3 linked regions of the Macaca fascicularis genome follow. Each later gene encodes a partner of the first gene's protein in a complex. Links are inferred from orthologs where the notes say so. Each region holds a gene or a part of one and is shown in the gene's direction. Other genes may lie near its edges.

Evidence for each region. Proteins that work in one complex are often made in the same cells at the same time.
Region 2: FAM8A1 (region 1) and OS9 share a complex: the UniProt entries of both Homo sapiens proteins name them as parts of the HRD1 complex. The link is inferred for Macaca fascicularis from reciprocal best matches to the Homo sapiens genes FAM8A1 and OS9.
Region 3: FAM8A1 (region 1) and UBE2J1 share a complex: the UniProt entries of both Homo sapiens proteins name them as parts of the HRD1 complex. The link is inferred for Macaca fascicularis from reciprocal best matches to the Homo sapiens genes FAM8A1 and UBE2J1.

Annotation. Positions count from the first base shown.
Region 1 is NC_088378.1:155,292,692-155,296,727, reverse strand, and holds the start of FAM8A1 (protein FAM8A1), read left to right. Parts: upstream 1-1,236; 5' UTR 1,237-1,355; coding exon 1,356-2,067; intron 2,068-2,371; coding exon of another isoform or gene 2,372-2,376; exon of another isoform or gene 2,377-2,734; intron 2,735-3,503; coding exon 3,504-3,624; intron 3,625-4,036. UniProt on the Homo sapiens protein: Plays a role in the assembly of the HRD1 complex, a complex involved in the ubiquitin-proteasome-dependent process of ER-associated degradation (ERAD).
Region 2 is NC_088385.1:64,538,317-64,540,824, forward strand, and holds the end of OS9 (protein OS-9), read left to right. Parts: intron 1-533; coding exon 534-698; intron 699-840; coding exon 841-953; intron 954-1,233; coding exon 1,234-1,359; 3' UTR 1,360-2,008; downstream 2,009-2,508. UniProt on the Homo sapiens protein: Lectin component of the HRD1 complex, which functions in endoplasmic reticulum (ER) quality control and ER-associated degradation (ERAD).
Region 3 is NC_088378.1:86,048,087-86,051,586, forward strand, and holds part of UBE2J1 (ubiquitin-conjugating enzyme E2 J1), read left to right. Parts: intron 1-262; coding exon 263-394; intron 395-2,488; coding exon 2,489-2,573; intron 2,574-2,724; coding exon 2,725-2,830; intron 2,831-3,500. UniProt on the Homo sapiens protein: Catalyzes the covalent attachment of ubiquitin to other proteins. Functions in the selective degradation of misfolded membrane proteins from the endoplasmic reticulum (ERAD) and is essential for cells to recover from ER stress.

The DNA of each region.
Region 1 (4,036 bases):
GGAAAATAAAAGAAAGAAATTATCTGATCTACCTTGTTTAACTGTTGTAGGCCACAGCCCCCATTCCAGAGGGTCCTGTTCCATACCCAGAAGGAAGGAATGCTGCAGAGAGCCCAAGGAGAATCTAGACAGGCCTTGCTGGGCTTCCTGCCTGTTGGCGTTAGAGTGTTTTTTGTCCAATCATTTTGCTATACGGCTGTCCATGCTTTGTTGAACCTGAGCATACAAATACACAATCTCCCTTGTTATCTTTGGGTCTTCATTCTGAAGGCTACCGTGTCACATAAAACGATGATCAAATCAATGTCTATGTCTTCTCTCCTATTAACTGCCTCCTGTCAGTGACTTTCAGAGAACCTTCGGAGGGCGAAGTTTTCCCTTGGCCCGGACAGCATCATCATTAATATCATTAATAAATATTCCCACAGTATTTGGCCCTTCTGTGTCCTTTGTATGGTGCTGGGGATACAATGACATATCGCTGCAGAGATTTTCAAATGTAAAAGAAGAGGGATTATACTGATTTAAAAGCTGAATTTTGTCCTCACCCTGGAGCTAGTCTGCATTTCCGAAAACTTACTTTCCACTGCGGTAGACACACACTTTCTACTCCAGCGAACTGTGCCTTTCCTCAAATCTAGTCTCAAATTTAGGTGCCTTTTCATTTTCTGTTATGGAAAGGTCCTCAGTATATCCCAGGCTTTGGAGCCTTTTGTTACTAGTCTAGCCTGTGCATAATTTCCCCTTCCTCTGAATTATACATAGCACCTCACTACTTATATTTTAATATATTTTCCTACGTCTCAGTGGTACCAATATATTAATATAGGTTCCAGTTTAGTTTGGTTTTTAATTTCTTATCTTCTAAGGGGATAGATGCGTTCTGTACCACCTTCTCGAGTACTAATGGTTAACTGGAATGGAGCACAAAACAACAGTCGCGGTTCTGCAACAGAAAAGGCTGCGCTGGCCCTGGGACCTGTCTCGGAAATGCTCCTCATCCATCTGCAGTTTCTCCCAGGACAACTAGGCCCAACCCCACGTGAACATACAGAGAGGCCTCGGGCCACAGACTTAAAGCCGTAAAAGGGAGGAGGCGACGGTCTCGTCCCAGTTACCGACAAGCCAGCGACTACTAGGGCCCGAACCTGGGACTGCAGACGCACCTCCCCGCCCTCCCTTCCCAGCTCCGCCCGGCGGCGGGCGACGCTCCTGAGGGGCGGGGCTTCCGCTTCCGGCGGGGGATTGTTGACGCCTGCGGCTGCTGCGGTGGCGACCGGGCTGTTCGGGAGGGGCTATTGGGGCAGGGAAACGGAGCAGTGACAGGTACCCCGGAGGGTGCTGCTGAGGTGACTATGGCCGAGGGGCACGAGGAAGCCCGAGGCCGCCCTCCCGGGCAGGACGATGGCGGAGGGGACCACGAGCTCGTCCCTTCCCTGAAAGGCCCTGCTACCACCGCCGTCCCATGCCCCCGCGACGACCCCCAAGCCGAACCCCAGGCCCCGGGTCGGCCCATAGCCCCGGGCCTCGCGGCCGCCGCCGCCACCGACGAATTGGATTCGCCGCGCGAGCTCAGGAAGCGCGGGGAGGCGGCCTCCGGCTCCGGTCCCGGGCTGCAGGAGCAGGCGGACTGCGAGGCGCCCGAAGCCGCGGCGCCGCGGGAGAGACCGGCGCGGCTGAGCGCCCGCGAGTACTCCCGGCAAGTGCACGAGTGGCTGTGGCAGTCCTACTGCGGCTACCTCACCTGGCACAGCGGCCTGGCCGCCTTCCCCGCCTACTGCAGCCCCCAGCCGTCCCCGCAGAGCTTCCCTTCGGGCGGCGCTCCTGTTCCCCAGGCCGCGGCGCCGCCGCCCCCGCAGCTGGGCTATTACAACCCCTTCTACTTCCTGAGTCCCGGGGCCGTGGGGCCTGACCCGCGGACAGCTGCCGGCATCAGCACCCCTGCTCCAGTCGCGGGCCTGGGACCCCGGGCTCCTCATGTGCAGGCGTCGGTCCGGGCCACTCCAGTGACGAGGGTAGGATCCGCAGCCCCTTCGCGAAGCCCGAGCGAGACCGGGCGACAGGCAGGTGAGAAGCGCGAGGTGGAGGCGGGGCAGAGTAGAAGTGTCTTCGGGGACCTGTGAGGTGGAGCTGGCACGCTTTTTAGACCTGTAACTGCTGCTGCTACTCTAATTGATCATCCTGCCCGTGCACTAGCTATCGTTTGTCCAGGCCCTAAATTCCCAAAATGTACAAGGAGGCAATACGGGTTTCATTGTTCTTTAGACCTGGCACTCCGAATTGATTCCTTTACTCATGGGACTAGTTGTTTCTTCGTGAAAAGAAATTGCTCTTCAAACCATCCTCTTCCTTTGGTTTTCATGCTCTGCAGAGTGAGGTCCAAAGCTAAATTCGCAAATGGCAAACCCAGTTTTGGAGGGGCTCGACTGGTGATGCTGGAAATTCTTCAGACATTGGCAACTTAGGACAGTGGAACTGACCGGATATAAAAGGAGATTGACATGGATACAAGTGGAGTTAGGAAGCCCGGGCTTATTGATCTTGTATATTGTGGAATTGTTTTTGCTTCTGTGTGTGAACTAGAATATTTTGAATTAGGTACACTTCTTAGTTTACTATTTAATCCATTAGTTAAGACTTTTCGTTTATTTAGCCACAGATAGATGGGACAAGAACTAATAGATGCCTCTGATGCCAGTCAGAATTTAGGATGACAGACAGATACTCATTGGGATTATTTTAAAGAAAGCAAAACTAAAAAAAAATGAGGGGGGCGTTACAGGGATTTACTTTGTACTAATTGCCAATATTTAACCTTGATTTGCACTAAAAAATGTTTAATTTTGTTGTCACTTAGATGTGATCACCTGGATTCTCCTCGTTAGAATTCTAGTGAAATATATTGGATACCCTAATCGAATTTATCTGTGAAATCAGTTTTTTGGGGGGAAATTGGGCGGGGTACAAGGTCTGCTTCTATCGCCCAACCTGGATAGTGCAGTGGCGCGATCTTGGCTCACTGCAACCTCTGCCTCCCAGGTTCAAGCCATCCTGCCACCTCAGCTTCCCTAGTAGCTGGGACTATAGGCATGCGCCACCACGCCCGGCTAATTTTTGTATTTTTTGTTGAGACGGGGTTTCGCCATGTTGGCAAGGGCCAGACTGGTCTGGAACTCCTGGCCTCAAGCAATCCGCCCGCCTCGGCCTTCCGAAGTGCTGAGTTTACAGATGTGAGTCACTGTGCCTGGCCGTGTGAAATCAATTTTTAAACGTTAAAGTGATGAAAGCAAACTTTTAAGTTCAGTAAATAGTGGAGTACTGTTACTCTCTTTTAGTAACATGGGTTCTTGGTGGAATCAATATCAATAGTTGCTGCAAGGTTATAAATACTGTTTTTTAAGTTGTACCTTGACTTTCTTTACCAATTCATTACATGGCTTGTGTTCCAAGGCTTGTGTGAAATGATTCATTTTTCCTAACTTTTTTTTTTTTTTAATTTACAGGCAGAGAATATGTTATTCCATCCTTGGCCCACAGATTTATGGCAGAGATGGTGGATTTCTTTATTCTCTTCTTTATAAAAGCAACCATTGTCTTAAGCATTATGCACCTCAGTGGGATAAAGTAAGTTGAGGACATTTGCAGAAAGGTTTTAATTTCTACTCTTCAAAGATCTTGTTTTGTTACATTCTGTCTACATGTGATTATATGGATAATGGGCTTGTCAGTGTCATGATTTCTTTATAAGAGCTTTGTCACATTTATTGTTTTCTTGTTGATTTTAAGAAATATTTACAAAGGAAAAAAATAACTTACTGAATTCTATAAGATGTATGGGAATCTCACCTATCAAAAATAGGTAAAAAGAGCCTCCAAACCTGCTTTGATTTTATTCACCTATTCTTTTAGGCCAGGAACTAATTTACCTCTCACTATCCTGTTCCTTCTTGCTATCTTGTAGAGTCTCTAAAGACAAAGGTATAAAGAGCTTTTGGTAGGTGAATTAATAATCAACTAGGTGGCATTTCCAAATGGG
Region 2 (2,508 bases), on another chromosome or scaffold:
AGAGAGTCCCCAGCTGTCAGGGCACGAATAGGAGAGCCCAGCCGCACATGAGCCAATAGCCTGGATAGACTTTAAATTATGTCTTCTTCTTGCATCCCCTTGTGTCCATTTCATAGGGTCCTATGGGTGTGGACATCAGATGTTCCAAATGAAATGTTCCAGTTTCAAACCCTCCATCCCATTCTCCCTATAAACATTGAAATGTCTTTAAAGTCCTAACATATGGAGGAGGAGACCACACTTTTCCAACCTGCTTCTTCAGACAAAACTTTGTTGGTGCAGGTGGCCTGCTTTTGGCTTCAGAAAACATTTGTTTTCCTATAGGTGATGGGCAGAATTATTGGGTAGGGTGGGAAGACGGAAGGCAGCAATTGGTGGAGGGAGCTCTATAGGCTGAATTGGGAGTGGGGGCACACATTTTTTTGAGCCCTGGCTCATACACATGTTGAGATGGAATAGCTGCCAAAGCTGCCACCCCTAACCCTGGAGTCATGCCTCTGCTTTGTGTTTCCCTGTGTGTCTCCCCCTCTAAGAGGAGGATCCTGAGCACAGAGTCCGGGTCCGGGTCACCAAGCTCCGTCTCGGAGGCCCTAATCAGGATCTGACTGTCCTCGAGATGAAACGGGAAAACCCACAGCTGAAACAAATCGAGGGGCTGGTGAAGGAGCTGCTGGAGAGGGAGGGACTCACAGCTGCAGGTGGGCCCTGGAGGGCGGCTGGACCCAGCACTGTCGGAAGGGCAAGCTGCCGGAAGTGGAGGGGCTGGGACCAGTGGGGCAGGGGGCCTGCCCTGAGGCTCCCAGCCATCCTCTCCTCTCACTGCATACTGCTCCTTTCCAGGGAAAATTGAGATCAAAATTGTCCGCCCATGGGCTGAAGGAACTGAAGAGGGTGCACGTTGGTTGACTGATGAGGACACAAGAAACCTCAAGGAGATCTTCTTCAATATCTTGGTGAGAGGCTTCTACCCCCAAGTCCTGGCCCCCAGGCCTCCTGTCCCCAGCCCACCTGGAGTGGAGGTGTGGGCCTGCCCCAGCCATGCCGTTGCTGAGCTTCCGTTTCCTGATCTGTAAGACAAGGCTAGGGTTCCAGTGATTCAGAGTGCTGCCATGCAGGAAGAGCCTCTCAGGACATGGGTGTCCTCATTCCCTGCCTTCCCCCAGCTGCCTGGCCCAGGACTTCCTTGGGCTCAACAGCGAGTAGCTCCAGCCCACCTCTACCCTCTCCCACCAGGTGCCGGGAGCTGAAGAGGCCCAGAAGGAACGCCAGCGGCAGAAAGAGCTGGAGAGCAATTACCGCCGGGTGTGGGGCTCTCAAGGTGGGGAGGGCACAGGGGACCTGGACGAATTTGACTTCTGAGACCAACACTGCACTTGACCCTTCATAGAATCCAGAGTCTTCCTGGACTGGCCTGCCTCCTCCCCACCTCCCCACCCTGGGACCCCTGAGGGCCAAACAGCAGAGTGGAGCTGAGCTGTGGACCTCTCGGGCAATTCTGTGGGTGTGGGGGCCCTGGGTGAATGCTGCCACCCCAGCTGGCAGCCACCTTGAGAGCTCACCCGGCCTGTGATGTTTGCTCTCCTGAGCTTTCGCTCAATCCTCTTCCTCTTCCTCTGTGGCTTTTCTTGTTATTGTACTCTAATGATAGGATATTCCCTGCTCCCTACCTGGAGATTCGGTAGGATCTTCTGAGTGGAGGTGTGTAGAGAGAGCAAGGAGGGCAGGACACTTAGCAGGCACTGAGCAAGCAGGCCTCCACCTGCCCTTAGTGCTGTTTGGAGTTGCTTTACCCCCTTCTCTTGAATTGCCTTGAGATGTCCTTCTCCCTTTCCCTGCCCACCCTGTCCCCTACAATTTGTGCTTCTGAGTTGAGGAGCCTTCACCTCTGTTGCTGAGGAAATGGGAGAATGCTGCCCATCACCTCCAGCACAATCCCAGTGAAAAAGCTGTGAAGCATCCACCATGTTCTTGAACAATCAGGTTTCTAAATAAAGAACTGGACCATCAATCTGTCAACCTTTTTTGTGGGGTGGGGGTTCCAGCAGGGAGGAGGCTCAGTGTTCTTTTCAGATCATGCTCTGATCCTGTTCTTTGCTCCCCACTCCCCAGGTACTATAAACGGGGGCTGGGGTATGCAGGAAGAGACCAGAGTGGCTAAATGAAGCCTGGCCTGGCAAGGATTGAAAGAAACACTTGCAGTACCGTCATCTTCTTTTTCTCATCTGTCTGTTTCTGTTCCTTCCCTTCTCTTGCACCAAGTCTTTCCCTATCATTTCCCCCTTTATACCCTGAAAGCCAAAATGCACACCATGGAGTTCCCCACAGCGGGGATCTTCCTTCTGCTGCGGTCTCGCCCACAGCATGCTCCAGATTCCATTTGTCACCCACACCCCTACCCACCTGTCCTTTCAACATTTCCCAAAAAGACCTCCACCTCTGGGCATGCCCAGAGAGAGGGCTGCTGCCCACACATGCCAGTTTCTTAGTGTGCCAAGGGTATGTGGGCCT
Region 3 (3,500 bases), about 69 Mb from region 1:
CTATGAATATATAACAGAAATTTTTAATGTGTTTATTATAAAAGATTTTAGCTCAATGGAACATGAAAGCTAGATTAAGTAGCTTTCACTTATAAATTTAATTTATCACTTACATTCTCAAGACATCTCATACATTAGAAACTATACTAGCAATAATATAAAGCATTTAGTTTTTCTTGCTTGGTAATATTTCTGATATTGAGATAAAATGATCAAACTTTTTAATATTATTAATTCCTTGTGGATTATTGTTTTTGTTCAGGATAACCTTTTTGAATGGCACTTCACGGTTAGAGGGCCTCCAGACTCCGATTTTGATGGAGGAGTTTATCATGGGCGGATAGTACTGCCACCAGAGTATCCCATGAAACCACCAAGCATTATTCTCCTAACGGTAAGAATTTTGGATTTTTAGAATGCTCATGACTTAACTCTTCCTGGTAGGTGCAAAATATAGTAAGCAAATCATTTTCATTAAGAAATATTAGAACAGTATAATTTTGCTTTTGGGGTCCAGGCCCTGGGACTACAATTTTTTTCCTCCAAAATAATTCCTAGGAAGCTGATGCATCCGAGAAGTAAAAATGATACAACTGAATGCATAAATGTCACATCATGGTTGTTAGGATTCAATGAATTAATATATGAAAAGCGCTGGGCATACACATCTGGCACTTCATAAGTACTCACTAAAGGTTAGCTAATGTTATTGTGCCTTGTAATCACATTGTCTCTTTCAACTTCCCACCTTTCTTACACTCTCTTCCTCAGTTTTCTCATCTTTACAAAGAGAATAATGATACCTACCTCACTGAGTTTATGTGGGATGAAAAGTATCAATATCTTATTGTATAGCTCTTAGAATAGAGTCTGACACAGAGTATTCAATAAGTGTTAGCATTATTATTACTATTTATATCTCAGAATTTCTCTCTTTCTCTCCAACTTTACATGTCTTTTCTTCATGTGAAGGAAAAAAATTTTTTTTTTAGAGACACGGTCTTGCTCTGTTGCCCAGGCTGGAGCGCAGTGGCCCAACATAGCTCACTGTAGCCTCAAACTCCTGGGCTCAAGCAATCCTCCCACCTCAGCCTCCTGAGTAGCTGGGACTATAGGCACATGCCACTGTGCCCAGCTAATTAAAAAGCTTTTTGGTAGAGACATGGTCTCATTGGTCTTGAACTACTGGCCTCAGGCAATCCTCCCGTCTCAGCCTCCCAAAGTGCTAGTCACCATCATACCTGGCCAAGGAAAACTATTGATCTAATTCCTCTTCAATTGTTATGCTTTTCTTCTCTCATTTCCTTTAATTTTAACTATGTTTAATTATCCCCTAACCTTGAAAGAAGCAAAAACAAACACAAAAACCTTCCCCTGTATCTGTTACCACTTTAAGCTGTGCCTATTTTTCTCTTTGGTAACCTCCAAGGCATCCTTTCTCTAGTGTAGCCTGCTGCAGTCCACCTTCCACACATAGTGCCCTGTTGAAACATGAAACTACACCAGTCTCAGAGATTAGTTTGAGAAATCTCACTGCTTCTTCTCAGTCTTCATCCTGTTCTATCTAAGTTAAACATCTGACCCACATGGAGTAGCAAATGGTGAAACAACAGGTATTCGTCAATAAATACCAAATTAATGCTACTTTTACCTCTATTTTGTATAACAGAGAGAGCATTTGTTTAAGAGCCAGTAGGCCTAGATTCTGACTGGTGCTCTTTCCATTACACTATGGGTGGGTTACATAATGTCTTTAAAATTCAGTTTTCTCATCAGTCAAAAGGAATTTTGTGTTTGGTAATTGTAATCACACCATAAAGTACCTGACATATAGAAGCTGCTTAACAAGTATTAGCTGATACTCCTCTCTTCTTCTTTTTTTTTTTTTTTTTTCTTTTCTTTTCTTGGGGACAGGGTCTCACACTGTCACCTAGGCTGGCATGCAGCAATGCAGTCATGGTTCACTGTGGCCTTGAACTCCTGGGCTCAAGGAGTCTTCCTGTCTTAGCCTCCCAAGTAGGTAGGACTAGAGGCACACGCCACCACTCCTGGCTAATTTTCTTTCTTTTTTTTTTTTCTTTTTCTGTAGACAGTGTCTCACTAGGTGGCTCAAACTGGTCTTGAACTCCTGGCCTGAAGTGATCCTCTCGCCTCAGCCTCCCAGAGTGCTGAGATTACAAGCGTGAGCCACTTCGCTGGCCAGTAAAACTTTATGTGTTAATTATTTAGATTTCAGTTGTGCAACTCAGTTTCAAAAGGTGCTGTAAAACACCTTCTAACAACAGCTTTTATTATTCAGCATCCAACAAGTATTTTTGGAGTCTATAAGGACAAAAAAATCTGTGCCCCATTAGAGGTTACATTTTTTTAAAAAATCTTTTTAAGATAATTTCTAAAATTATTATATATAAATAGTATATTTTTACTTAGAAAGTATAAACATTAAACACATGTATTTAATTTTCTAGATGTATTGTTTATTCCTCAGGCTAATGGACGATTTGAAGTGGGCAAGAAAATCTGTTTGAGCATCTCAGGACATCATCCTGAAACTTGGCAGCCTTCGTGGAGTAGTAAGTGTTAATTTATAGTGAATATAAATCTCTTATAACTTCAGTCAATTCATAGTTATGAAGTATAATACTCTCTTTTTTTTCTTTTTCCAGAATAAACCCAGTTGCTTTTACAAAGCAATTTAGATTGATATTTACTTTTTTATTTCAGTAAGGACAGCATTATTAGCCATCATTGGGTTTATGCCAACAAAAGGAGAGGGAGCCATAGGTTCTCTAGATTACACTCCTGAGGAAAGAAGAGCACTTGCCAAAAAGTAAGTTTTGCATTTCATTCTTGTTGAGGTCTGAATGGTATTCAGGGTAATGGCTATTAGGAGGTAGGGCCTGCCTCTTACTATGTGACTTACTTTCTGAGCGACTGTAGCTACAGGATCTTATCTCAGTTTTGCTCTTTTAGAAATTCAGTTGTAATAATTTCCTTGGAGTGACCAGAATCTAAGTAATTTATTTAATGCTATCTAGTCTTAAAAAGTCGTTGATACTATTTCACTATTTTTTTTTTAATACAGTGGGAGATATATTCTCCTGGAAAACAATACCAGTCATTTGTTTCCACTTATATGGAATTACAGATGGAAAAGAACCAGAGCAATTATTTGTAGCTTTCCACAAGATTACAAACCCCTTGAGGGCCGGGAGAGAATCCACTTTATCCATCTTTGCATCTAGCTCATAGCAAGTGCTTAATAAGTGATCTGGAATAAAGCAAAAGAGATTTTCTCTATCAAGTTGTGATTGCCCAGGGGCAATCACAAACAGAGAAGTGCTGCCTTCTCTGTTTTTTTCAGGTGCAGGTGTATTTTTGTCTATATAACCAAGATCAGTCCTTCCGTTCAGAGTAGCCCCTCTTTGAGTAGCGCTGATACCTAATTTTTGATGTTGATAATTTTTCTGCTCTGGAGTCTGCTGCCTACCACCCTTCAG